Linked DNA regions of Anolis sagrei. The protein of the gene in region 4 interacts with the protein of the main gene of each other region in a pairwise test. Links are inferred from orthologs where the notes say so. Each region holds a gene or a part of one and is shown on either strand. Other genes may lie near its edges.

The links.
Region 1: the proteins of TRIM39 (region 4) and UBE2D2 interact in binary tests that used the Homo sapiens proteins (3 or more experiments, as listed by UniProt). The link is inferred for Anolis sagrei from reciprocal best matches to the Homo sapiens genes TRIM39 and UBE2D2.
Region 2: the proteins of TRIM39 (region 4) and UBE2D3 interact in binary tests that used the Homo sapiens proteins (3 or more experiments, as listed by UniProt). The link is inferred for Anolis sagrei from reciprocal best matches to the Homo sapiens genes TRIM39 and UBE2D3.
Region 3: the proteins of TRIM39 (region 4) and LNX1 interact in binary tests that used the Homo sapiens proteins (3 or more experiments, as listed by UniProt). The two-hybrid records come from large-scale screens. The link is inferred for Anolis sagrei from reciprocal best matches to the Homo sapiens genes TRIM39 and LNX1.

What each region holds. Positions count from the first base shown.
Region 1 is NC_090024.1:137,845,877-137,852,796, reverse strand, and holds the start of UBE2D2 (ubiquitin-conjugating enzyme E2 D2), read left to right. Parts: upstream 1-3,900; 5' UTR 3,901-4,098; coding exon 4,099-4,122; intron 4,123-6,920.
Region 2 is NC_090025.1:27,743,899-27,751,897, reverse strand, and holds the start of UBE2D3 (ubiquitin-conjugating enzyme E2 D3), read left to right. Parts: upstream 1-4,992; 5' UTR 4,993-5,592; coding exon 5,593-5,616; intron 5,617-7,999. UniProt on the Homo sapiens protein: Accepts ubiquitin from the E1 complex and catalyzes its covalent attachment to other proteins. In vitro catalyzes 'Lys-11'-, as well as 'Lys-48'-linked polyubiquitination.
Region 3 is NC_090025.1:74,813,065-74,820,143, forward strand, and holds the start of LNX1 (E3 ubiquitin-protein ligase LNX), read left to right. Parts: upstream 1-4,072; 5' UTR 4,073-4,081; coding exon 4,082-4,491; intron 4,492-7,079.
Region 4 is NC_090022.1:23,343,408-23,350,442, reverse strand, and holds the start of TRIM39 (E3 ubiquitin-protein ligase TRIM39), read left to right. Parts: upstream 1-4,013; 5' UTR 4,014-4,145; intron 4,146-6,898; exon of another isoform or gene 6,899-6,918; 5' UTR 6,919-7,035.

The DNA.
Region 1 (6,920 bases), on a different chromosome or scaffold from region 4:
CTTGGGTAGTTGGTGAGGTAGGCCAATCTGCTTCTCTAGTCCTACCTACACTGCCATATAATGCGTTGTCAGAATGCAGTTTAACTACATTGAACTGCATTATACGGCGATGCAGACTCATATAATCCAGTTCAATGCAGTTAAACTGCATTCTGGAATTGCCTTATATGACAGTGTGGGTGGGGCTTCTGTTTTGCTCCTCATACACACTCAGTGATTCTGGAGGAGTAAGTGCACATAACTGCGGGAGGATCACCTAGAGTGGAACACATTCTTTCCTAGGTCAAGCTTCAATATTTTTTACCCAACACTGACAAGGTTTTGTTTTCCAATCCTCCTTTATCGAAGTCTATACTACATCTCCTGCCCCTCAAATTAGAAGGAAGACTGCATAAAAGAGTTATTTTTCAGGGACTTGTTAACTTCGCGTGCCTGTGATGTAAAATTAAAAGTAGAGCTGAATTTATTTTAAAGAGAATAAGCATTTCAATGGCATTCAAACATAAACCGAACCAATATAATTATTACACAATTTGAAGATTTCTTAATATTTAACACAAAACCAGACCACCAATAGCATATGTAATTTATGCTATTTTTGTACCTCATTTGGCTGTTTTTTGTGCTTGTGTGTCATCTGAGCTAGTTTCATTATATCTATTAAAGTGAGCTGCAATCTATAAAAGTCTGCACCAGAATAAATTTGTTAGCATTTAAGGTGCCATGGAAGAATATATGTTGACCAGGTAACTAGAAAGCCTGCCTGTTTGACCTGTCTGGGATGACAGCAGGGACAGTATTATCTCCTGCATGGATTGCTATAGAAGCAACAAAACATCTACAATCCTGGCACCATATAGAATCCACCAAAATATTAAAACATAAATAAATATACATTGCAACCCCTCTGTGTTATCTACCTACTGACTGAGATATCAAATACACTGACCACTTAAGTATGTTTTAAACCAGTTCAGCAGAAACTGGTTTTTCTGTATGGATGGTAAGATTGCTATTTCTGGAACAGATTTCAGACCAGGATGGTGATTACATTAACCACAAAAGTGATCTGGAACTGGTTCCAAAATCCACAGTATCCATGGCTTGCACATTTACATTGTGGACGCAAGAGGTGGAAAAAAGAAGGGAAAGTGAGAACTAGCAGTAGAGATAATCAATTATCTATCCCAAGGGGTCAACTGACCACCTGTTCCCCAGTCATGCCCTCGGCATTTTCTCATCAGTCAGCCCCATTCTGAGTTTTACAATACACATCAGTGCATCGGATGTCCACAATGAACTTTGTATGCTATGGAGCTGATTTTGCCATGTTGTGTGATTTACTTTGGGACTGTCATGCATTCAGGGGCTTGTTTTGGACTTTCCCCAACTTATGTTAAAAACCCTTAAAGTGTGTGGTAGTGTTCTTCAGTGGTGTGTGTTATTTAGCCACTAAGAGAAGTCCAAAACAAGCTGCTGAATGCACAGCAGCAGTCAGTGTAAATAAGCACAATTATTACCCATTTTTACAGATTGTAAGTCATCCTGATACCTTAGGAATATAGAGTACATTTGGAATGGCATGTTTTGGAGGGAAAAAATCAAGTTGGATATATTAAAAGTTTCAGGTATCCAAATAGAAACTGACATGTGGATATACCACATCATTATACTTTTTTTAAAAAAAGTTTAAATTTGATTTTTACAAAAGAAAAAAGTGATGCACAGTGTAACCCAATAGCATCCACGAGTCCATTTCATTTGTTTTACATAGAAAGGAACATAGCTCTAAATACGACTAGAGTTACTGGGTCATCAAAAAACAAAAATGCAAGTCTCAAAATGGTTTTACCAAACAAAGGTATTGATTTCAGCTAATGTAGCTATGGATTTCTCTATATTTTTTCACATTAACATATACTGGCAAATAAAATGATACACATGTCCACTTCTAAGGAAGACTCAAATCCTCAAAAAAAAAAAAAAAAAAAAAAAGGGTTTTTGAGCCGAGCTGTTGAGCCTCTACATAAAAAGAAAAGCTTTCTAGTGCACAAATAAAGGACAGACTTTGGCCCCTTCCCCACAGTTGTATGGAAGGAAAGGAAGGAAATGGAAGAGGGGCTGACCAAGGGCAAGATGGATGGATAGTATCCTTGAAGTGACTGGCTTGAACTTGAAGGAACTGGAGTGGTGACGGCTGACAGGGAGCTCTGGCGTGGGCTGGTCCATAAGGTCATGAAGAGTCAGATGCAACTGAACAACACACAGTTGTATAAAATCCACATTGAAATGGATAATATGGTAGTGTGGACTCAGATCACACAGTTCAAAGCAGATACTGTGACTGTGGATTGTCTGCTTTGATATTCTGGATTATATGGCATTGTGGAAGGGCCCTTTATAATAATAAGGGGTTCATGGCAAACCTCGTCCTGACTATAGACCCACTGAGGCTCCTTCCACACATCTAAATAAAATCCCATATTATCTGCTTTGAATATATGGCAGGGTTATCTGAGGGCCCTTCCAGAAAGGCCCTATATCCCAGGAGCTGATCCCAGGTTTTCTGTTTATCCCAGTTTATCTGGCAGTGGGGACTTCTACAATCCAGGTTACAGCAGGAAAATATGGAATCAGATATGGGTTATAGGGCCTGTCCGGAAGGGCCCTCAGATAACCCAGTTCAAAGCAGATATTGTGGCTTACCTATCTTGAAATTATGTGGGCCCTTCCACACAGTCCAATATCCCAGAGTATCAAGGCAAAAATCCCACAATATCTGCTTTGGATTGGGATATATGGCAATATGGACTCAGGGCTCATCCACACAGCCCAATATCCTAGAGTATCAAGGCAAAAATCCCACAATATCTGCTTTGGACTGGGATATATGGCAATATGGACTCAGGGCTCATCCACACAGCCCTATATCCCAGAATATCAAGGCAAAACATCCCACAATATCTGCTTTGAACTGGGTTATCTGAGGGCCCTTCCACACAGCCCTATAGCCCAGATTAGCAAGGCAGAAAATCCTACAACATCTGCTTTGAACTGGGATATATGGCGGTATGGATTCAGGGTCCTTCCACACAGCCCTATAACCCAGAATATCAAGGCAAAAATTACACAATATCTGCTTTGAACTGGGATATATGGCAGTGTGGACTCGGGGCCCTTCACACAGCCCTATATCCCAAAATACCAACGCAAAAAATCCCACAATATCTGCTTTGAACTGGGATATATGGCAGTATGGACTCATGGCTCTTTCACACAGCCCTATATCCCAGAATATCAAGGCAAAAAATCCCACAATATCTCAGATAGTGTGGGATTTCCACCTTGATATTCTGGGATAAAGGGCTGTGTAGAAGGGCCCTGGTTTCCATTAAACCCCTTTGTTCCCAAGTGAAAAGTTTTTCCTGTCCTGTTCCTCCCTCTTCGAGTCTGACAGTTGTTGGGCCTTCATCCGCCATGTCTCTTCTCGCGAGAAGAGAGCGAACCCTCGCCTTGCGCGGCCCTCACCGATGAAGGGGACGCCTTCGTGCTCTGTCCTTTTCCGAGGGGTTCCCTGCCGCGGGCCACACTTGCTCGTTCAGCGCCTTCCTAAGCGTCCGCGTAAGGTCACGCAGCGCTTCCCCACTCAGTCCGCGAGCCTGCCGCGACGGCCGCGAGGCGCATGCGCCAACGCCGATGGCGGAGGAATCTCATTAACCTCGCGCCGCCGTCGCGTCATAAAAGAACTTCGCTGAAGGGTGATGCGGCTGGAGGAGCCGCAGCGCCGAGAACGTCAGTGAAGGGAGAGCCGGGGGAAATAGTAAGGAGGGAGAGAAGCAGGAGGAGGAGGAGGGGGCGGCGGAAGGGGACGACGGAGCGGCGTGCAGGGGCGGGGCGGGGGCGCCGACGAGGGACTTGAAAGGGGAGCGCCCAGGAGGCCCGCGCGCGCCCCCTCCCTCCCTTCCAGCCTGCCTCTTCCGCCGAGCAGCCCCCGCGCTCCCTCCGCCGCCGGAAAAGTAGTCCCGCTCCTTCCTCTTCGCCTCCTTCCTGCCTCCTCGCGCGCCGCCCTCCACAGGCTCCGCCGCCGCCGCCGCCGCGATGGCGCTGAAGAGAATCCACAAGGTAAGGAAGGCAGGCTGGGAAAGAGGGAGGGAGGCGCCGCTCCAGGGGATGCCCGGCCCTTCCCTCCCTCCCTCCCTCTCGTGGGGGTCTTAGCTGTGGAGGAGGAGGAGGGAGGAGGCCTCCTTGGTGGCCTTTCGCGCCGTGTCAGCTGGGCCTCCCCGCCCCGAAGCGAGGCCCCGCGCTTGGGCCCCAAACCCTCGGCAGGCGGCGCCTCTCCGGCCTAGGCCGCAAGGCGCCTCCTGCGGGGGCCCTTCCCGAGGCCTATTGTTCCAAGGCGGCCCTCGCCTTTCCCAGAAGGAGGCCCGTGCTTTTGGTTTCTCTTTCCTGCCCCTCTCCCCGCCCGGGAGGCCAGGGATGAAGGGCACGCCTTGAGCCTGGCGCTGGGCATCGCTTCAAGCAAAGGGAGGGCGCCTTGCCCGGAAGAGAGGCAGGTGTGCGGCCCCGTCTCCCGCCATCCAGGCCCCGTCTACATGGCACTGTGGACTCATATGTAGATAATGTGGATTCTGTGCTTTGTTCATCTGGATTATGTGTCAGTCTAGAAGGGGGCAGTTGTATAAAATTCAAATTGAACTAGATGGCAGTGTGGACTCAGGACCCTTCCACACAGCCATATAATCCAGAATATCAAGGCAGGAAATTCCACAATATCTACTTTGAACAATATGGCAGTGTGGACTCATATATAGATGATGTGAATTCTGTGCTTTGTTCATCTGGATTATGTGGCTAAGGCCTCTTCCACACAGTTGTATAAAATCCACATTGAACTGGATTATATTGCAGTGTGGACTCAGGACCATTCCACACAGCCATATAATCCAGAATATCAAGGCAGGAAATTCCACAATATCTGCTTTGAACTAGGATATATGGCACTGTGGACTCCTATATAGATGATGTGGATTCTGTGTTTTGTTCATCTGGATTATATGGCAGTGTAGAGGCCTTTTCCACACAGTTGTATAAAATCCACATTGAACTAGATGAGTGGTTCTCAACCTGTGGGTCCCCAGATGTTTTGGACTTCAACTCCCAGAAATCCTAACAGCTAGTAAACTGGCTGGGATTTCTGGGAGTTGGAAGCCAAAACACCTGGGGACCCACAGGTTGAGAACCACTGAACTAGATTATATGGCAGTGTGGACTCAAATAATCCAGTTCAAAGCAGATGTTTTGGGATTTTCTGCCTTGATATTCTGGGTTATATGACTCTGGAAGAGCCCTAGATTATGTGGCGGTGTAGAGAGGGCCTAAGGCCCTTTCCACACAGCTGTATAAAATCTACATTGAACTGGATTATATGGCAGTGTGGACTCAGGGCCCTTCCACACAGTCATATAACTCAGAATATCAAGGCAGATAATCCACAATATCTGCTTTGAACTGGTGGCCCTTCCACACACCCATATTAACCAGAACATCAAGGCAGAAAATCCCACAATATCTGCTTTGAATTGGAATATATGGCAGCGTGGACTCAGATAACCCAGTTCAAAGCAGATATTGTTGGTTTTTCTGTCTTGATACTCTGGTTTATATGGCAGTGTGGAAGGGCCCTGGGTTATCTGAGGGCCCTTCCAGACAGTTCCTATATCCCAGAATCTGATCCCAGGTTTTCTGTTTACCTCAGATTATCTGGCAATGCGGACTCAGGGCCCTTTCACACAGCCCTATATCCCAGAATATCAAGGCAGAAAATCCCATGTTTTCTGCTTTGAAGTGGGATATGTGGCAGTGTGGACTCAGATGACTCAGTTCAAAGCAGATATTGTGGGATTTTCTGCCTTGAGATTCTGGGATATAGGGCTGTGTGGAAGGGCCCTCAAAGAATTCAATTGAAAGCAGAAAATCTGGGATCAGATCTTGGGAAGCCCACAATATCTGCTTTGAACTATCTGCGAGGGCCCTGGGTCCATACTTCCAGATAATCCAGTTCAATGTGGATTTTATACAGCTGTGTGGAAGGGGCTTCAGATAACCCAGTTCAAAGCAGATTTTGTGGGTTATCTGCCTTGATAGTATATGTCAGTGGTTCTCAAACTGGGGTCCCCAGATGTTTTTGGACTTCAACTCCCAGAAATCCTAACAGCTGGTAAACAGGCTGGGATTTCTGGGAGTTGTAGGCCAAAAACATCTGGGGACCCCAGGTTGAGAACCACTGGTCTAGGTTATATGGCTGTGTGGAAGGGCCCACAATCTTTTCCTCTAGAATTTAGTGGAGGTAATCCTTCCATGAATTTAGGACCCTTCCACACAGCCATATAATCCAGAATATCAAGGCAGTAAAGCCCACAATATCTGCTTTGAACTGGGTTATCTTAGTCCACACTGCCATATATCCCTGGGCCCTTCCACGCAGCCCTCTATCCCAGAATATCAAGGCAGGACATCCCACATTATTATATAGGGCCTGAGTGTGGACTCAGATAAGCCAGTTAAAAGCAGAAAATGTGGGATTTTATTTAGCGGTGTGTGTGTGTGTGTGTGTGTGGGGGGGGGTCTTACATAAAACAAAAGGAACACACCTGCAGCCCAGGAGGGAAAGGTGTCAGGCATGCCTCTGCCTCCTTTGTGTGCCCGCCTGGTGCTTCCTCTGCCACCTCTGCCCTCAGTCATCTCCCCTGCTACTTCCTGCCTCGGGTGTGTCTCCGGCACATCTTTAATGACACCTTTGGATTTATGCTTTAAGCATCTTGCAGTTCTCTCAAGGGAACAACATCCAGGCTACTGCAGTTGGAAAGCAAGCCTTACATATCTTTCTTCTTGGCAAACAGACCCAATGTGGAGTTTGTGCC
Region 2 (7,999 bases), on a different chromosome or scaffold from region 4:
AAGAAGTAGTATGCACCAAGGATCATATTGTTATTGGAGCTGAAAGCACACAGAGGTTTCACTTAGGCCGCTTCCACACTGCCATATAAAATCCAGAATATCTGCTTTGAACTAGGTTATATGCTAGTGTAAACTTTGGGCCCTTTCACACAGCCCTATATCCTAGAACATCAAGGCAGAAAATCCCATATTATCTGAGTGTGGACTCAGATAACCCAGTTCAAAGCAGATATTGTGGGATTTTCTGCCTTGATATTCTGAGATATAGGCCTGTGTGGAAGGGCCCCCATATGAAGGTAATGTTTCCCCTGACATTAAATCTAGTCATGTCTGACTCTGAGGGGTGGTGCTAAGTGAAAGAGCTGGCATAGTCTGTAGGCACCTCCTAGGTCATGTGGCCAACATGACTACATGGAGCGCCGTTACCTTCCTGCAGAAACTGTGCCTATTAATCTACTCACATTTGCATGTTTTTGAACTGCTAGGTTGGCCGAAGCTGGAGCTAAAAGCAAGAGCTCATCCCACTCCCCAGATTCGAACCTATGACCTTACGGTCAGCAAGTTCAGCAGCTCAGCAGTTTAACCCATTGTGCCACCAGGGGGCCTGAATCTCATGTGATCCAGTTCAAAGCAGATGTGGATTATCAACTCTCATAATCTGGATTATATGGCAGTGTAGAAAGGGTGTTAGTTCAAAGACCTGAACCCAGAAAATGAGGACAGGTTAGAGAGCATAAACTCCCTGGTTGCAACAGCTTAACTACCAATTGATTTCAGGACACCATTTTAATTGCTGGTTTTGACCTATAAAGCCCTGTATGATTTGCATCCAGGCTAGCAAAAGGATAGTATCTTCCTATATGAATCTGTACTATGCTACTTTGCTACCACTGGGAACAGACCTTCGCAGGCTGAATCCACATTGTAGAACGAATGCAGTTTGACAATACTCCAACCAGATAGTAGCCTAACAGGCCTGGGCCAACCTGGGCAATCCAGGTGTTTTGGACTTCAACTCCCACAGTTTAAATCCAAAACACCTGGATTGCCCAGCCCTGATTTATAATGTTACTATAATGTTCAATCAGCAGTATCAGCAGCTCAACTGTTTAACCCATTACGCCACTCAGGGCTCCGTTGAAGTGTAGGAAAGGGTTAAGGGAGATGCAGTGAGTGGGATCATGCAAATTCCACACCAATGGAAAGAGTAAGAAACACTGGGATGTCTGTGATGGAGAAAACACATAAAATCTAGGATGAAATTGTCCCTGAATGAAAGGATTCTGTTCGAGTTCAGCCTGTGATTGTGTTTCAAAATCATGGTGCTTTGGATGCGGGGAATGATGTCAATGAGATTCAAGATGGAAATGGTTTGGTCAATGGTATTGATGCAGAGGATGACATAGTCACACCGGTTCAAAGTGTAGTTTCCCATGAGAATGTTCCTACAGGGTATAGGGATGATGCTTTACTCCCTGAATTGCTCCCAGAAAGTTCTTAGGATCTGAAAACAACTTGGCACCTGCAGAAACTAATGAGCATATAGACAGGCGGGTGGAAATTAGCCAAAACAAGACAGCTCGGCCAAAGCCTTCGGCATTCTGCCAGGCTTTGACAGATAAGGATGAGAGGCATTCAGGGAAAACAAAACCAATTTCTGAGTGCTTGGAATGGCTTAACGAGGGGACATAAAGTTCCAAGCGTGGGAAATACAGTCAGATGAAGCATCGTTTTAGAATCCTGCTAAGTTCTGGTTCTTGCCTCATGGAAGTTTTTTCTGGAAGATTTATGTTTAAGGATTTCTTGTTCAACGGTTTGACTCTTGGTTCTGGTGGTTGTATACTGATGCCTTGGATCAACGTTTCCTAGTTCTCTGGATTTTGTTAGAGAAGAGTGGGCTTTGTTTTTGGACTTTGCTGAACTTTACCTTGGACTAATTTGTTCCTGCTTATCTTCTTTCCTAATTGGATTTACCTATTCCTTTAAAGTGTTTTTTTCCTTTACTTTGCTGCTTTTACTTATCTTCAATAAAATGATTGTTTTTTTCCCTACTCAATGTGTGGTGTTTAAAATAAGAGGGCTATTCCTGTCCTGAAGTGCAAGTTTCCTTGGGTGGCGGGATTGGGGACATGGGCAGGGTATGGGAGACATGTTCATGGCTCTGGCCCCTCGACTCTCGAACTCTCTCCCTAAGGACATCAGGCAGGCCCCGTCGCTAGCAATTTTTAGGAGGAGCTTGAAAATGTGGTTGTTCCAGTGTGCCTTCCCAGAATAAGGAAACTCCTAGCATTATGTCCCAACGCACTTTATCAGAGATCCAGGATATCTGCATGCCCATCCCCCTCCAAACACCTCACCTGGTCATGCCCAGCACTTTTTAAATTTAATTATTACATTTGGCCCTGACATTGTTTTTAATTGCGTCATTGCGTGTTGTTAATGTTATTGCCTTGTTTATGAGTTTATTTATTGTTGTATTATTGTTGTTTTTACTGATGTATTTCGGCTCAGCCTCTTGTAAGCCGCACCGAGTCCTTCGGGAGATGGTAGCGGGGTACAAATAAAGGTTTATTATTTATATTATTATTATTATTATTATAACCTGAAATGTCATTGGAGGGGGGGGGGGGGCTTTAGGTGGCCCCTCAGGACTGTGGGTTAAAGCTATTTGTGGAAGTGGGCGCCTGTCTGTGGAAGTGAACACTCCAGCCACATACAAATTTTCACTTTTACACATATATACATTATACTTTTATTATATGTAATGTGTATGTGTAATGTGTATATGTATGGTATGTATATATAGATCAGGGGTCCTCAAACTAAGGCCCAGGGGCCGGATGCGGCCCTCCAAGGTCATTTACCCGGCCCTCGCTCAGGGTCAATCTAAGTATGAAACTACTTGAAAGCACACAATAACAACAATCCTATCTCATCAGCCAAAAGCAGGCCCAGACTTTCTATTGAAATACTAATAAGTTTATATTTGTTAAAATTATTCTTAATTTTAATTATTGTATTGTTTTTAAAATGTTTTTGCACTATAAATAAGATATGTGCAGTGTGCATAGGAATTCATTCGTATTTTTTTCGAATTATAATCTGGCCTGCCAACAGTTTGAGGGACTGTGACCTGGCCCTCTGTTTAAAAAGTTTGTGGAACCCCTGACATAGATAGATGTATAGATAGATAGAAGAAAGATAGAAATAGGCCTATAACATCACTCCAATGAAGTTCCATCTTTGGAAAGAGCTTGCTGTGTTGCGTAAGGGCCTTCCAAGTTGTTAATGTCCAAAGCACAACTACATTACAAGGCCATGTATACTGACTCTTGGAATATATCTCATTCAATGCAATCAAACCGTTTTAGGCTTCCTGACTGTGAGAGCCGTTCAGCAGTGGAACTCTCTGCCGCGGAGTGTGGTGGGGTCTCCTTCTTTGGAAGCTTTTAAATTGAGGCTGGATGGCCATCTGTCAGGGGTGCTTTGAATGCAATATTCCTGCTTCTTGGCAGGGGGTTGGACTGGATGGCCCATGAGGTCTCTTCCAAGTTGTTGTTAATGTCCAAGCACAACTACATTACAAGCCCATGTATACTGACTCTTGGAATATATATCTTTCAACGCAATCAAACCGTTTTAGGCTTCCTGACTGTGAGAGCCGTTCAGCAGTGGAACTCTCTGCCGCGGAGTGTGGTGGAGGCTCTTTTAAGCAGAGGCTGGATGGCCATCTGTGGGGGGTGCTTTGAATGCAATATTCCTGCTTCTTGGCAGGGGGTTGGACTGGATGGCCCATAAGGTCTCTTCCAACTCTTTGATTCTATGATTGTCTGCCCCGGAGTGTGGTGGAGGCTCCTTCTTTGGAAGCTTTTAAGCAGAGGCTGGATGGCCATCTGTCAGGGGTGATTTGAATGCAATATTCCTGCTTCTTGGCTGGGAGTTGGACTGGATAGCCCATGGGGTCTCTTCCAACTCTTTGATTCTATGATTGTCTGCCCTGGAGTGTGGTGGAGGCTCCTTCTTTGGAAGATTTTAAGCAGAGGCTGGATGGCCATCTGTCAGGGGTGCTTTGAATGCAATATTCCTGCTTCTTGGCTGGGAGTTGGACTGGATAGCCCATGGGGTCTCTTCCAACTCTTTGATTCTATGATTGTCTGCCCTGGAGTGTGGTGGAGGCTCCTTCTTTGGAAGCTTTTAAGCAGAGGCTGGATGGCCATCTGTCAGGGGTGATTTGAATGCAATATTCCTGCTTCTTGGCTGGGAGTTGGACTGGATAGCCCATGGGGTCTCTTCCAACTCTTTGATTCTATGATTGTCTGCCCCGGAGTGTGGTGGAGGCTCCTTCTTTGGAAGATTTTAAGCAGAGGCTGGATGGCCATCTGTCAGGGGTGCTTTGAATGCAATATTCCTGCTTCTTGGCAGGGGGTTGGACTGGATGGCCCATGAGGTCTCTTCCAACTCTAGGATTCTATGATTCCTTTAAAAAGCGGGGAGGGATTCAAGAGCCTCTTCCTTCTTCTTCTTTTTCTTCTCCTCTCATGACAAAATCGTCCCTTCTCCTCAGCGGCCATTTGCTGAATGCGCGAGACCGAGAAATGTCTTTCGACGCATGCGCAAAAAGAGGACGAGAGCGCGCTTATTCAGCGGCGCGCGCTCACAACACATTTCTCCCCCCCCCCCTTTTTTTCTTCTTCTTATCGCGAGAGCTTCTTTTGGGGAAGACATGTAATTTTTCTCTACGCATGCGCTACGAGGGACAAGAACGGGCTTATTCAGCGGCGCGCGCTCACAACACATTTCTCCCCCCTTCCCCTTCTTCTTCTTATCGCGAGAGCTTCTTTTGGGGAAGACATCTAATTTTCTCTACGCATGCGCACGGAGGACAAGAACGGGCTTATTCAGCGGCGAGCGGTCGCACACTCTTCTCGCGAGAGGTTCTTTTGCCTCCTTTCCCTTCCCCCTCCCCCTTCCTCCTCCACTTTAATATATCTTGTAAGGGCAGAATAGAAACAAACAGCACGAAGTGCGCATGCGCGGGTGTAACAACACAAGCTTTTCCTCTCTGTGTCTCGAGCCAGAGCAAGCGCGCGGCCAGTCAGTCAGTCAAGTCATCCAGGCTACGGTGGCGGTTAAGCGTTTGCAGGCCTCCTCCAATCGGAAACCACGCCAAAGAGGGAGGGAGGGCAGCGGCGGAGGAGGCGGGGCCTTTATTTAGCCCCGCCCCTTTCTTCGGCCTCGCCATCAGTGGCGGCGGCGGTGGCGGCGGCGCCTTAAGCTTTCACCCAGTCTTCCTTTCCTCGCAAACTCCGGCGGGCGTTTAGGCCTCAAGGGCTCGGGACCGAACTAGGCCGCGGGGAAGGCTTTCTCAGAGGTGGGACGAGCCAGAGGCGGAGGCGGTGACGTCGGCGCGGCTGGTTTCCGGAGGAAGGAGCGCGAGAAGAGAGCGAGAGAGGCAGGCAGGCTCCATCCTCCGCAGGGAGGGAGTGCGGCGGCGGCAAGGCCCGGCGGAGAAGGCGGCGGAGAAGAAGGCGGAGGAGGAGCAGCAGCAGCGACACCGACGGAGCAGCGCCTCCCGCCCCTCGCCCACCAACCATGGCCCTCAAGCGCATCAACAAGGTGAGGAAGTAGGCCTCGCTCTTTCGGCACTTCCGCCTTCGCCGGGTTATATATATATATAAGGGGGGGGGGGGAGGTTGGATTAGGTGTTGACATAAAGGCAAGAGATACTACTCTTTCGCCGCCTTGGCCCTTGCTTGGACGACGTTACTGCGTGGATTATCTCGACGACGAAGCTTCACTGGACTGGGCCTTGTTATGGCAGCAAGATTTGGGTCAATCTGTGGAATTGTGTTAGAGTGTGTGTGGGGGATAGAGGTTTAAACCAAACCCACAATGTTTTTGTCTGGATTCCCAAGCCTCCCTTGGATCGGGCCTTGTGATGGCGACGTTTCCCCAAATTTTCAGCTAGGCCCTTCCACACAGCCCTATGTTCCAGAATATCAAGACAGAATAACCCACAATATCTGCTTTGAACTGGGTTGTCTGAGTCCACAACTGGGATTTTCTGCCTTGATATTCTAGGATATAGGGCTGTGTGGAAGGGACCTAAGTGGGATCCACCTCAACAGTCTCTGGGATTAATTTTTACAGGAGAATCTGGGATATAGGGCTGTGTGGAAGGGACCTAAGTAGGATCCACCTCCACAGTCTCTGGGATTAATTTTTACAGGAGAATCTGGGATATAGGGCTGTGTGGAAGGGCCCTAAGTGGGATCCACCTCCATAGTCTCTGGGATTAATTTTTACAGGAGAATCTGGGATATAGGGCTGTGTGGAAGGGACCTAAGTGAGATCCACCTCCACAGTCTCTGGGATTAATTTTACAGGAGAATCTGGGATATAGGACTGTGTGGAAGGGCCCTAAATGGGATCCACCTCCATAGTCTCTGGGATTAATTTTACAGGAGAATCTGGGATATAGGGCCATCCAGTCCAACCCCCTGCCAAGAAGCAGGAATATTTTCAGGGCCCTTCCATACATAACCCAGAATAGCAAGGCAGAAAATCTCACAATGTATCCCAGTTCAAAGCAGATAATGTGGGATTATATTCAGCTGTGTGGCAGGGACCAGAGAGACACAGGGATTCCTTTTCCTATTCCAAAGGAGATTGCTAAAAATTGTAAAATTATCAGGCAGCTTTTGCCATCTATAACAGGCATGGGAAAACTTGGTCCTTCCACGTGTTTTGGACTTCAATTCCCACCATTCCTAAGAGCCTCAGGCCCCCTCCTTTCCCGCTTAAGCAGAGGCTGTTAGGAATGGTGAGAGTTGAAGTCCAAAACACCTGGATGGACCAAGTTTTCCCATGCCTGTTATATATGGCAAAAGTCGCCTGATAATTTGGAATAGGAAAAGGAACCCCTGTGTTGCTCTGGTCCCTGCCACACAGCTGAATATAATCTCACATTATCTGCTTTGAACTGGGATATATGGCAGTGTGGACTCATGTAGCTCTGGCTCTTTCACACAGCCCTATATCCTAAAATTATCAGAACAGAAAATCCCACATTAACTGCTTTGAACTTGGGTACCTTCCACACGGCTGAATTAAAATCCCATATTTTCTTCTTTGAACTGGAATATATGGCAGTGTGGACTCAGATAACCCAGTTCAATGCCAATATTGTGGGATTTTCTGCCTTGATATTCTGGGTTATAGGGCTGTATGGAAGGGCCCTGAGATATATGACACTGTGATCACAGGGCCCTTCCACGCAGCCCTATATCCCAGAAAATCAAGGCAAAAAATCCCACAATATCTTCTTTGAACTGGGATATATGGCAGTGTGGACTCGGGGCCTTTCCACACTGCCATATAATCCAGTTCAAAACAGATAATGTGGGATTTTATTCAGCTGTGTGGAAGGGGCCTCAGAGCTCTTCCACACAGCCCTATATCCCAGAATATCAAGGCAGGAAATCCCACAATATCTGCTTTGCACTGGGTTATCTGAGTCCAAACTCAGATAATGTGGGATTTTCGGCCTTGATATCCTGGGATATAGGTCTGTGTGGAAGGGCCCTCAGATAACCCAAGTCAAAGCAGATATTATGGGTTATTCTGCCTTGATATTCTGGATTACATGGCAGTGTGGAAGGGTCCTCTATGTTTGTGTGTGTGTATGTGCCTGTTTACGTGTTGAATCCGCCTTTCCCCTTCACTGCTTTCTGTGAACTTCTTTCCCGCATTGCAAGATGGCGGCGGGTTTGCCTAGCTAGTTCAGCTGCTTCCCCTCTCTCTCCTCTCTAGGTTTCAGTGTGTACAGCACTGACACGCAGAGATCTCCCTACGCAGCTCCCGGTCTCCCCCGATCTTCTTTTGTTATAGACCCAGAATGGATGCCTTTTTTCCCCCCCTGCCTCTGCTCTTGACAAGGAGCGGAAGTCTGTGGCGGCTGTGTGTGATGCATGGAGAATTTCGTTCTTGCACAATCTAG
Region 3 (7,079 bases), on a different chromosome or scaffold from region 4:
GCAACAATTCGATGCCGCATAATAAAATACAAAACACCAATAATTACAACAGTTAAAAGCATAAAAACATTAAAACAATATACTTATAGTTTACCGAACTATTAACAGTCTGGTGGCCATTATCTAGCCGTATGCTGTGATTGAGTATTCCATTAAACTTATCCATAATCCATTTCCAAGCCATTGTCAAAATTGTCATTTGTCATTTCCGCCTAATTACCCGAAGGCCTGATCCCACATCCACTTTTTTACCTTCTTTCTAAAGTTGAGGAGGGATGCCGATGACCTAATTTCCCTGGGGAGTGAATTCCACAGGCGGAATTACCTTTGGGACAGTGCAATAAGGCAACAATAGGAAATTTTACCCTACTGACCGGATCCGGTATGGCTGATCTGAGATGGTTTAAAACAATTGATTTTAAAGTGAAGATAATTGATTTGAGTGTTTATGTATATTTATAGTTTATTTTAAGTTCCACCACTGAATATTTGCCATATATATGTTGTGCTCTGACCTGAGTCCTCTTTGGGGTGAGAGGGACGAAATTTAAATGTTTTAAATAAATAAATAATTTCAAGAAGGCTCATTCCACTTTGACTGCCATGGTTCCATCACATGGGACCTCATCGCATGAGTCTTTTGCTCCATCCTACAATGCTTCTAGGATGGAGCCCAATGGAACCCATCACATGACGCAGGGCTATATCCAGTGGGTTTCATCCTAGCAGTATCATTGGATGAAGCCCTGAGAACATGGGTGGCTACTTATGTTCTCTTTACCTAAGCTGGGGACAACACAGGGAAGCCGGGCAGCAATGGTTTTCCCCATGTGATAGGGAAGCAAGCAATGCAGGGCAATTAATGTCAATTTCCCTCACTGCCCAACAAATTTGCCCCATTGACCGACAGATTCCCCTGCTGTCCCCCTGCTTAAGTACTTCCATGTAATGGGATCCTAGGACTGGAAATGTATGAAGGGTCATCTAGAATTCTCAGCCAGAATTCCCCAGTGCCTCATTAAAATACAAAACCTAGGATTGCAAGGGATGGCACCATGGCAGTTGAAGTGGTATACAAGTGCTATAATTGTATAGTGTGAATGGGTTCTAGGCCTTAAAAATCATTCTTATTTCATGTCAACATTGGAACTTATCACATGAGGCTGGCCAACCACAATTGTAGCAGGATAATAATGTCTATTGTCAATAGTTGCTGCCTCTTTTGACCTTGTCACACGGCCGTTGAACATGCCCCACATCTCTGTGTTTCACGGGGGGGGGGGGGGGAGGGATGGAGAAGGGGTGGAGAAGTGGCCACCCCATACCCTTCATTGCCCGGCAGTTGATCCCATGGGAGAAGCGTGGTGTGTGCAGCTTCTCTCCATTAAAGTCTCCCATGTTGCCACGGCAGTGAAATGCACCAGCTCTGCCCTTCTTCACCCATAGAGCCAGCACAGTGTTGTCTGATGCGAGCCGGTGGGCTCCATGGGTACCTGGACTAAATTGGTGCATACCACTGAATTTAGCCCCCTGTGAAGAGGTCATTTGCTTCCCTCATTACTCCTTTTAATAGGACTCCTTTTCATAGATAGTAACAGTTAATGGCTATTCATTCCATTGCCATACCATTCTTTATTTCAGTATGATAGGTTCCTTCTGCTTCTGTTCCAATTTGATGGCAGCCATATGGCATCAGTGAGTATGATTCTTCATCTCTACCCCGTCTCGTTGCTATTACAAAACAGACCTTTCCTTTGGAAAAAACCTTTATTTTCTCTTCTTTTAATTTTTTCTTCAAATTGCCATAATTGCAAAATTGGATAAAAACAAAAAAACCAACCTTTTGTAGAATTCATTTCAAATCAGTCTTGTACGATAAAACATGAAACCAGTTTGGTGCAACACCTAAATGGAGACCATGCTTTCGTTCCAATTTAGCTATAAAGCTTGCTGCATAACTTCTTTTCATTCTAATTTACCTTGCAGGATTGTTGTGAGTATTAAATGAGTGCTAACAATAACAATAATATACTAATCTTACGTATTTTGGCAGTATGATCTTTTGAAGCTAAAGAAAGAGAGTTTTCACAGCATAGTATATTGACAGTTCTACAATACCAGTTCTACTGGTAGCCAACCAGAGTATAGAATCATAGAATCATAGAGTTGGAGGAGACCTCATAGGCCATTCAGTCCAACCCGCTGCCAAAAAGCAGGAAAATTGCATTCAAAGCACCCCCGACTGATGACCATCCAGTCTCTGTTTAAAAGCTTCCAAAGAAGGAGCCTCCACTACATTCTGGGGCAGAGAGTTCCACTGCTGAACGGCTCTCACAGTCAGGAAGTTCTTCCTCATGTTCAGATGGAATCTCCTTTCTTGTAGTTTGAAGCCATTGTTCCATGTCCTAATCTCCAGGGCAGCAGAAAACAAGTTTGCTCCCTCCTTCCTATGACTTCCTCTCACATATTTATGCATGGCTATGTGTCCACTCAGCCTTCTCCTCTTCAGGCTAAACATGCCCAGCTCTTTAAATCGTTCCTCATAGGGCTTGTTCTCCAGACCCTTGATCATTTTAATCTGTTCTTTCATATAGTTCAGCTTCTCTCGTTAACCTTTGAATTGGACAAATGGGTCAGAAGTGAAAGTAGGTCTTTATCCTACTTTATCCATGAGTAGGTCTTTATTTTCAATTTTGTTGATAAATTTGTAATTTTGGGGATGTGGGTTATTTATGGGCGGGTAGCAGTTGAGGATAAGGGCCCCCCGGTGGCGCAGTGGGTTAAAGCACTGAGCTGCTGAGCTTGTTGACCAAAAGGTCGCAAGTTCGATTCCAGGGAGCAACGTGAGCTTCCACTGTCAGCCCTAGCTTCTGCCAACCTAGCAGTTCGAAAACATGCAAATGTGAGTAGATCAATAGGTACCGCTTCGGCGGGAAGGTAACGGTGCTTCATGCAGTCATGCCAGCCACATGACCTTGGAGGTGTCTATGGACAACGCCGGCTCTTCGGCTTAGAAATGGAGATGAGCACCACACCCCAGAATCAGACATGGCTGGACTTAATGTCAGGGGAAAACCTTTACCTTTACCCTTAGCAGTTGAGGAGAGAAAGTCAATGTCATGTGGTGTTTTGAGTGTTGAACTATGAGCCTGGAGATCATATTGAAATCCCTGCTCAGATATGAAAACCTACTAGGTTATTTATTTATCGTGTCAGAAACAAGCCAAACAGTTGTATTGCATTTTTTAACAAAAAAACACAAACAAACAAAACACAAAGTTTGTAAGCTTGGTAGTTGATTATATGCCCTTTGACCAGTAGCTGGCCACTTGGAGTGCCTCTGGTGTTGCTGCAAGAAGGTCTTCCATGGTGCATGTAGCAGGACTCAGGTTACATCGCAGCAGATGGTCTGTAGTTTGCTCTTCTCCACACTCGCATGTTGTGAATTCCACTTTGTAGCCCTACTAGGTGACCTTGTGCAAATCACACTCTCCCAGCCTCAGAGGAAAACAAAGGTAATCCCCTCTCCCAAACAGACCTTGATGGAAAAACCCAATGATATTGTTTTAAGGGTCACTATATGTTGGAAATAACTTGAAAACATGCATCGACTAGCCTCTGAGCATCTTCATTTCTCTACATAATCGGTAGCACACTATATAATCTGCTGAGAGACAAGTTCTTGGTGCCTTCAAAAAGAAACAACATTTGTATGTGGTTGCACCTGGATTTGGAAAACAATTGACCAGAGAGAATTTGGTTAGCATTAGGAGAGATAGGTTAAATTGTTCATTCTTTTTATCTTCTGTTGCTGATCCATTTAATTGATATTGTAATTTGTGTCTGTATATCTTGAGTTCTTGTTCAATTTCCAAAGTGTCATGGACTATTGACTCGCATACGAAAGTTTAATTGAGCATTGTATGTCATAATCAATCTTCATAATGCAGTTGCTTCGAAACAATTTCATTTGATTTGTCATCATGCTTCCCTACAGATCTGAAGAACTACTGAGACAACAGATAATATTTTGGACTGAAACTGAAATTTGAATTGAAATCTTTTCCTTGACCTTTGTGTCATGCAACACTCTCCAGTTATGAATCAAAAGGATCCATTAGGAGAAGCAGAAGAAAGCGCTGTTTCCTTATGTGTGGTCTGTGGCCAGCCACATCAACCAGAAGAGAACCACATGTATACCTACACTGAAGATGTGGACGATGATCTCATTTGCCACATTTGTTTGCAACCTTTGCTTGAACCACTGGACACACCTTGCGGGCATACCTTCTGCACAGTTTGCCTTACAGATTTCTTAGTGGAACAAGACTTCTGCCCTATGGACCGTAAAACTCTGATACTACAGACTTGCAGAAAATCCAGCTTACTAGTGAATAAACTCTTGGATAAACTCTTGGTTAGCTGTCCTTTCACAGATTTCTGCTCAGAGATTGTGCAACGCTCAAACCTTGAACAACATTTCCAAAATGGGTAAGTCGTTTTATATATCACTTCCACAAAAGTTGAGAATTTGTTCAGTGCTGGTAAAAGATCCTCTACTTTTTCAGCGAATGATGCTTTCAAGTATTTTCATTTTTCTGCTGTAGTGTAAATAAGTTGTCTGTTGTATTTCATGCATTCTCAGTAGATGGTGGACCTAGCGTCTCTGTTTCTCACTCACAGTCCTTGGTCATTGGAGATGGTGTTGCAGGCTTCTGACAATTGAAGTCCAAAACATCTGGAACAGCAAAGGCATTATAGCCGTGATCTAGATCAACTTACCACTAGACCCCTTCCAAACAGCTGAATAAAATCCCACCTATGGAAACCGCCCTGAGTCCCCCTGTGGAGATAGAGCGATATATAAATAAAGTTATTATTGTTATTATTATTATTATTATTATTATTAATATCTGCTTTGAACTGGAATATACAGCAGTGTGGACTCAGATAACCCAGCGCGAAGCAGATATTGTGGGATTTTCTGCCCTGATATTCTGAGTTATATGGCTGTGTGGAAGGGTGCATTGGGTTCCCTCATAACTGGAAATACTGACTAGTGTTGGTGGCAATTTGAGCCCAAGAAGAGCTGGAAAGTTATACATTTTCCCCTACTACTCAAAATTATGCTATGGAACACCCTTACAAACAGCTGAATAAAAAACAGCTGTGAAATTGTGTTTGCTTACTTCCACATTGAGCATCCCATATCCTAAACACTCGGAACCAGAAGTGTGCTGAATTTCTGCCCCCCACCCCCCCCCCTCAGATTTTGCAATGCTTGCATATACATAATGAAATATATTGGAGGTGAGACACAACTCATAGAGTTTGGAAATGTTTTCATATACTATATTTTAATAATGTTGTGCATGTGACAAAGTTAGTGTACATTGCAGCACCAGGAGGTGAGACTTCCACTATTTCAGCCACCCACATGGATAATTTTGGATTTTGAAATGTTTTGAATTTGGGAATTCTATAAGGGATACCCAACCTGTATCTAGTTGATTGAACAGATCTCAGGCTAAGTTTATGAAGCACTTTGAAGGGATTTCTAATGGCTCAAGTGCTAATTTTGCTGTGCTAATTTGTTGCCTAGGGCTTAATACGCTCATACTTAAGAAACATTGCTTAAGTTCATGTAACATAGTGGAACTGGTTTGACAGCTACAACAATTTTCTGCCTCTTACCCAATTTCAATAAGCCCCAAATCCTTTTAATGTTTAGAGTTTAGAGAGCAGACCCCAGACAACCTACAGACTGGTCTCCATGCTCTTCACCTTTTCTTTTCTTACCCAAGGTTTTTCATCCAACCACTTTGCGAGCCACTTGTAAATTTTAACAGTTCTTTCTTTGCAATGTGGCAGTCAAGAGGTTGTTTGAATAACTCTGTTTTCACCCTAGGATATGGGACTTGTTAGGTGACACTTTCCTATAACCCAGTTGTGCTGATCACAGCTAATATTCTGTTCTTTCCTGCTATAACATGCCATTTTAGGAGTTGGGAAGAGAGTTCTTTCTTGTATATTATTCTACTGTTTTTATTTTAACTTCTAATCTACTTTGGAGTGTTTGGACATCAGGAAATAAATAAAATAAAGCAATCATATTCAGTAGCAACCACTTAAAGTAGACTTTCTGTTTGACTTTTGGATTTGGTACTATAGCCTAAAATTGCTTTAGACAATTTTAATTTCAGAGATGGGCATGCTGTTTCAACACTTTTCTCCATGCGGTCTTGCCATTTGAAAAATCCAATCATTGGGAACATCAGAAAAGTTTTGATAATTTAGGCAGAACTATATGTTCCAACACTGATCTGGCTCAGACCAACTTTAACAGCCTAGTAAATTATCAACATCCATTTATTGGCATCTGCATTGATCACACAGCAAACATTCTGCATGGCTGGCTTTTTTTGACAAGTATTCATGGAACTAATGTACAAAAATAATGCAAAAATTATGAAAAATGTGTTTCTCAAGTGCTGAGAAAATCTGATAGTAGAATTTTGAAAAATTCACAGAACAGGATCTATTTTTAAGCCTTCTAAGCAAGAAGAAAATTGCTAAAATTTCTCAAAAAGACTATTAGCAAAAAAATTCCTTCAAGAAGACTATTGGTTAAGTATTACATTCATAGTGTCGGGTAGCTGAGACCAGATCCAGACAGGCCTTTATCCCAGGAGAATCCACTTTAAAAACACGGACCTGTCCACACCCATCCCAGAGAACATCTGGAGGGAGGCCCTACCCCCCTCCCCTGAAGCCTCCAGACCCCTTAGAAAAGTAATAAAAACTTACCCAGACTCCATTACAAGCTCCGGTGGACTCTCCCGTCGCGTAGAAATGATGTGCCAGGAGAGCTGGAGGGGAGCAATTTTCCTCCCTTCCTCGTCCTGCTCGACGAGCCTGCCGAGGCTTGTAATGGAGGCCAGGTAAGTTTTATTACTTTTCTAAGGGATCTGGGGGCTTCAGGGGAGGGGATGGGTATTCCCACAGTTATTGGCCTTATTTAGCCCGGTAAACTGTGGGAATACGGTCTGAGCTGCAGTATTCTGCAGTCCAGATGCCGG
Region 4 (7,035 bases):
CTGTTTTCTTCAGTGCTTCTCCATTATAATGCCGTTTGGCACCACTTTAACTGCCAATTATTAAATTATATGGAATCCTGGGAGTTATAGTTTCACAAGCCTTCTCTGTTAAAGAATGCTGGTGCCTCACCAAACAACTCTGAGGATTGAGCCCAGCATTGAGTCCTAGCACTTTAAGTGGTAACAGGTGGCCGTCAGGTTACTAAGAGGAGCAGCGCTCAGGAAGCACACTACTCCTCTGTTGCGTCAGCTCCACTGGCTGCCAATCTGCAACCAGGCACAATTCAAAGTGCTGACTTTAGCCTATAAAGCCTGAAACGGTTGTGGCCCAGCTGACCTGTCCGAATGTATCTCCTCCTATGAACTATTTATTTATTTATTTATGCGCTTGTATATCGCTAATATCTCAGCCTAAGTCGGCGACTCATTGCAGTTTACAACAACTAAAAAGTTAAAAACAATTAAAAAACAGTATTCAATTTAAAACATGAAACACATAAACAATACAAATTATTGGGCCACCAATAATAATCCCATGCATCTCGTAACTAAAATCACAATCCAAAATTCATCGTCCATGATTACCAGTCCTTTAGTCATCAAAATTCGTTGCAACGGATTAACTATCTAGGAGCTTAGGATCATCGGGGAAGGCCATGCTCTCTATCCTGCCTGCATTGCAGGCGCGATTGGCAGGGACGAGAAACAAGGCCTTTTCAGTGGTGGCCCCCCAGCTATGGAACTCCCTCCCCAGGGATATCAGATCGTCCCCCTCCCTCCTGACTTTCCGTAAAAAGGTAAAAACTTGGCTCTTTGAGCAAGCTTTTGAGTTTGCAATAAAATAGATAACATGAAACTATGAATGATGAACATGAGATGGCCAGACGATGTGATTGGAAGATGTTTTAACAGGATGACACCTATGACTATATGTTTTAATGGTTTATATATATTTTTGCATTGTTATGTTGCTTGTTTTGAACTGCACTTTATGAATGCATGGCATCAAACTGTGCCAAGCTGTAACCTGCCTTGAGTCGCCATATGGTTGAGAAACTGTCCATGGAGAGCCTTCTCTTCTGCTCTGGGTTGTGTTTTTACGGTACTCCCTCTTTGTCTTTTGCACTTTAAGCAGTTTACTACTATTGACTTCCCTCAGTGTTGGTTCTTGACTGCCATTTATTTATTTATTTATTTATTTATTATTTCACACATTTATACCCCATCCTTCTCACCCCCAGAGGGGGACTCAGAGGAGTTATGTCAGGATGCCCAATGTCGGCCTTCAAGGATAGGCTGCATGTGTCATTCTGACATGATGGGATGAAAGGAGAAGAGAGGGAGAGTTGATAAGGCAATATGGCCTGGCTGCTTTTTTGAGAACCAGACTGGGGGTCCTTCCATACAGTCCTATATCACTGAATATCAGGGCAGCAGTTTGATAGTCACACATTATGCTTTGGATAGCATAGGGAAGGGTGACCACCCCTGTGGAGTTTGTTTCCCTGTCTGTACCCCTGTTAATAATAATAATAAATAATAAAACTTTATTTGTACCCTGCTACCATCTCCCCAAGGGACTCGGTGCGGCTTACATGAGGCCAAGCCCACAGGACATCAATAAGCAAAGGCAATAACAAATAATCAATACAAAAGTTAAAATAAAATAAAACTCAAAAACAAAAAATACACAATAAGCGATAAGCAATATTAATAACAATAACATACAGCATTTAAAAACCAATGGCCGGGCCAAATGTAATAATTAAAATTTAAAATGCTGGGCATGAACAAGGTAAGGTAAGCTAGGATAGGGTTTTCAAAGAAAGATGAGGGCGCGCAGACAATCCTAAATCAATATTAAAGTGCATTTGAGGACATATTGCTAAGAGTTTTCCTATTCTGGGAAGGCACACTGGCACACTTCCCCTATTCTGGGAAGGCATTTCAGGCTCCTCCTAACGACTGCCAGCATTGGGGCATGTCTGATGTCCTTAGGGAGTGAACTCCAGAGTTGAGAGGCCACCACCGAGAAGGCACTTTCCCTCGTCCCCACCAGTCGCGCCTGCGAAGGCGGTGGGAGCGTGAGCAGGGCTTCTCCAGATGATCAAAGAGATCGTGTGGGTTTGTACACAGAAATGCAGTCACACAGGTAGGCGGGTCCCAAACCGTTCAGGGCTTTGTAGGTAAGAACCTGCACCTTGAATTGGGACTGGAAAATGAAGAGCAGCCAGTGGAGCTCCTTAAACAGGAGGGTTGACTGCTCTCTGTAAGCACTGGTTAGCAACCTGGCTGCCACCCATTGTACCAATTAAAATTTCCGGGCCGTTTTCAAGGGCAGCCCCACGTAGAGAGCATTACAGTAGTCCAATCTGGAGATGACTAAGGCATGGACCACCCTGGCCAGATCCGACTTCACGAGGTATGGTCGCAGCTGGTGCACAAATCTTAATTGTGCGAAGGCCCTCACGGCCACCGCCAACGCCTGAGCTTCAAGCGTAAGTGATGAGTCCAGAAGGACACCCAGACTGCGGACCTGTGACTTCAGGAGGAGTGTAACCCCGTCCAGCACAGGTTGCCACCCTATACCCCGATCCGGTTTACGATCTACCAGGAGGACCTCTGTCTTGTCAGGGTTGATCCTCAGCTTGTTCCTCCTCATCCAGACAGCCACAGCGGCCAGGCACTCGTCCAGCACCCGAGGGGCTTCCTTGGAGTTAGGTGAAAAAGAGTAGTTACGAACATAAAAACTCCAACCATCACCCAAGTCAAAAAAGAAGCACCATTAAAACCTTCGCACACTGTGCAAAAAGAATCTGCAAACCCCACCTTCTCCAAGATGAACTGAACCACCTCAACTGGGCTCTACAGGCCAATGGAGACTCCACCTCAGACATCAGAAGAGCTAAAAGACCGAGAACAGCCACGAGAACAAAGATGAAGATCCACCCAGAGGAAAAGTGTTCTTGCCATACATCAAGGGAACCACTGACCGCATAGGGAAGCTGATGAGGAAACACAACATACAAACAATCTACAGACCCACCAAGAAAATCCAACAAATGCTTCGTTCAGCAAAGGACAAGAGGGATCCTCTCACCTCTGCAGGAGTCTAGCGTGTACCATCCAAACGCAGGGACCACCAAACGCAGCATTGCCCAAACACGAATCAAGGAACACGAAAGGCACTGCAGACTACTTCAACCAGAGAAGTCAGCCATAGCAGAGCACCCGATGAACCATCCTGGACACAACATATTATTTGAGAACACAGAAATGCTGGACCACACCAACAACCACCATGTCAGACTACACAGAGATGCCACTGAAATACACAAGCATGTGGACAATTTCAACAGAAAGGAGGAAACCATGAAAATGAACAAAATCTGGCTACCAGGATTTAAAAACTCTTAAAAAAAATTAGAGCAGCACAACAACAGAGAGGAAACAAACAAGGACATCTAAGCACCTCTCAACAAAAGATTGCTCCAGGCACTGCCAGGCTAATCAAGGTGGCCAGTTGAAACATTCACACCTAGCTCCAGGAGACAAGAGTCCTTTGTCCCACCCTGGTCATTCCACAGATATATAAACCCCTTTTCCTAGTTCCAACAGACCTCACTACCTCTGAGGATGCTTGCCATTGATGCAGGCGAAACGTCAGGAGAACATGGCCATATAGCCCGAAAAAACCTACAACAACCCGTAGTTAAGAACGTTTCCTCGCACTTTCCGTCCCTCTCTAACAGGCCTGGGCCAACTTGGGCCCTCCAGGTCTTTTGGACTTCAACTCCCACAATTCCTGGGAGCTGGTAAAGCTGGCTGAGGCTTCTGGGAGTTGGAGTCCGAGTCGCTCACAGGCCCAAAGTTTGAAAACTCAGTCGGATGCCTTGCTGATTGCCGGCCCCTCTTTCTCCGTCGCCTAGCAACGCGGCGTTCCATCACCCGTCCAGCCAATCCCGTCGGAGCGCCCTTCTGGGCTCTTCTCTCTTTCTCTATGGTCGAGGGCTACTTCCGGTGACGTCGGTTCCTGTTTGGAGGGGAGGGCATTTCAGCCAGTAGGACATTGCGAGTGAGGGGCTTCGCAGGGCCCCTGCTGGGCGCCCCAAAACACCACTCCCCCGGCTCCCAGTCTACTCCAGGTATAGCTGTGTGTGTGTATATGTATGTATATGGGAAGCCCCCTTCCTTGAAGCCATAGCTCCAGGTCTAGCCCAGGCATGGGCCAACTTGGGCCCTCCAGGTGTTTTGGACTTCAACTCCCACCATTCCTAACCGCCAGTAGGCGGTTAGGAATGGTGGGAGTTGAAGTCCAAAACACCTGGAGGGCCCAAGTTGGCCCATGCCTGGTATATAAGGTTGGGCCAAAAGTCACAAAGGGGTTTCAGTTATAAAGTTCCTGTATATGTCTGTCCACTCAGGTTAGCTGTTTCTTCCTCTTTCTTAGGCCCCATGTAATGCAGTCCAAAGCTAGCTAGCAGCCGGGGCAACAAACTCACTAAAAAGTCCTTAATGTGCACCTGATGACATGTGTGATCACCACCCAAGCCTTTTCCAGGACTTTCTTTGTAATCATCTGCACAGCAAAACCACCTTTTTCAATACTGGTTTGAAATGGCATTAAATGGTGAGTGTAGATAGGATCTTAGGCCCCTTATACACAGCTGTATACAGTCCAAATTTAAACTGGATTATATTTATTTACAACATTTAGATGTCACCCTTCTCATTCCAAAGGGGACTCAGAGTGACTTACAAGTTACAAGTACATACAATATATTATGTTATTAGCATAGCACAATAGTAATATTATATATTACTATATTGTACTATACCACTATACTATAATATTAGAAATACTACATGTAATATGAAATAACTAATAAATAACAATAACAAAATAATCATTTTATATGGCAGTGTGAACAGAGGCCCCTTCCACACAGCTGTATAAGATCCACATTATTATATTATTAGCATATTATATTGTATTATTAGCATAGTACAATAGTAATATTATATATTACTATATTGTACTATACCACTATACTATAATATTAGAAATACTACATGTAATATGAAATAACTAATAATAATAAACAACAATAACGAAAACATCATTTTATATGGCAGTGTGAACAGAGGCCCCTTCCACACAGCTGTATAAAATCCACATTGAACTGGATTTTATTTATTTTTATTTATTTATTTACGACATTTATATGCCGGCCTTCTCACTGGATTATATTTATTTATTTATATTTATTTATGACATTTATATACTGCCCTTCTCACCCCAAAGGGGACTCGGAGTGACTTACAAGTTACAAGTACATACAATATATTATATTATTAGCATAGCACAATAGTAATATTGTATATTACATCACTTTATATGGCAGTGTGAACAGAGGCCCCCTTCCACACAGCTGTATAAAATTCACATTGAACTGGATTTTATTTATTTATTTATATTTATTTACGACATTTATATTCCGCCCTTCTCACCCCAAAGGGGTGACTTACAAGTTACAAGTACATACGATATATTATATTATTAGCATAGCACAATAATAATATTATATATTACTATATTGTACTATACCACTATACTGTAATGTTAGTAATATTACATGTAGTATGAAATAATTATTATTGTTATTTATTATTATAACAACAACAACAACAACAACAACAAAATAATCATTTTATATGGCAGTGTGAACAGAGCACCCTTCTACACAGACCTATATCCTAGAATATCAAGGCAGAAAATCCCACATTATCTGAGTGTGGACACAAATAACCCAGTTCAAAGCACATATTGTGGGATTTTCTGTCTTGATATTCTGGGATATAGGGTTGTGCGGAAGGGCCCTCAAATAATTCTGTTCAAAACAGATATTGTGGCATTTTCTGCCTTGATATTCTGGGTTATATGGCTGTGTGGCAGGGCCCTGAGATGCTTTGGAAATTAAGGGGAAAATGCAGTATAATGCAGGAGTCAGGGTGGCATAGTGTTTTGAGTCTTGGACAGTCAGGGTTTGAATCACTGCTTGACCAGTGAAAACCCACTGAGGGACCTGGGGCAAGACACATAGAACCTTCCATATAGCCATATAACCCAGGGCCTATCCACACTGCTGTATAACCCAGAATATCAAGGTAGATAATCCACAATATCTGCTTTGAACTATCATACAATCCAATTCAATGTGGATTTTATACAGCTGTGTGGAAGGGGCCACACTCTCAGCCTTAGAAACCCATTAGGGCCACATAAGTCAGAAGTGATGTAAGGCACATAATAATAATAATAATAATAATAATAATAAGGCACATAATAATAATAATAATAATAATAATAACAACAACAACAGCAACAATATCTGTCATTAACAAGAACTGAAGCCAGGAACAGATGTGTGTCACCATCGAGTTTAAATGGTCAAGTTAAGCCATTCTTCCATTGCACTCCAGCCTTTGTGAGTCGATCCTGTTTAGAGGCAACTATGTGATAATTCAGCCCACATGTATTGGGTTTGAGGTAGCATTGCTACAGCAGCTCGCCTGCTGCTTCATATCTTTAAAACATCACGCATCCCGGTTTCTGTGTGTTGATATACAAGAGTATACATGTTCAACTGTTCCAGGCCTACACAACCTGTGACCCTTCAAGTGTTTTGAACATTGGCTGCCAGAATTCCTGACCATTGAACAAGCTGGATAGTACTACTGGGAGCTGAAGTCCCAAACACTTTGAGGGCCACAGGTTGAATAGGCCTGAGTTACTCAATCTGGGAAAGAGATGGGATGGAAAGTTCTGCAGAAGTATTCTTGCTCTTTCCTCTTGTTCCACTCTGACCCACCCTGCTATCAATCATTGTAATTTCAGCCACAATCTTGATTATATAGTGCCAAGATACAGAAGAAAGCGCCCATCTTGAAACAAATTGCAGAGTTGGAGGAGATCTAGTACAACTGCTCAACCTGTCCTGTGTCATTGGATCATTAACCTGCTCTTGGGGAATA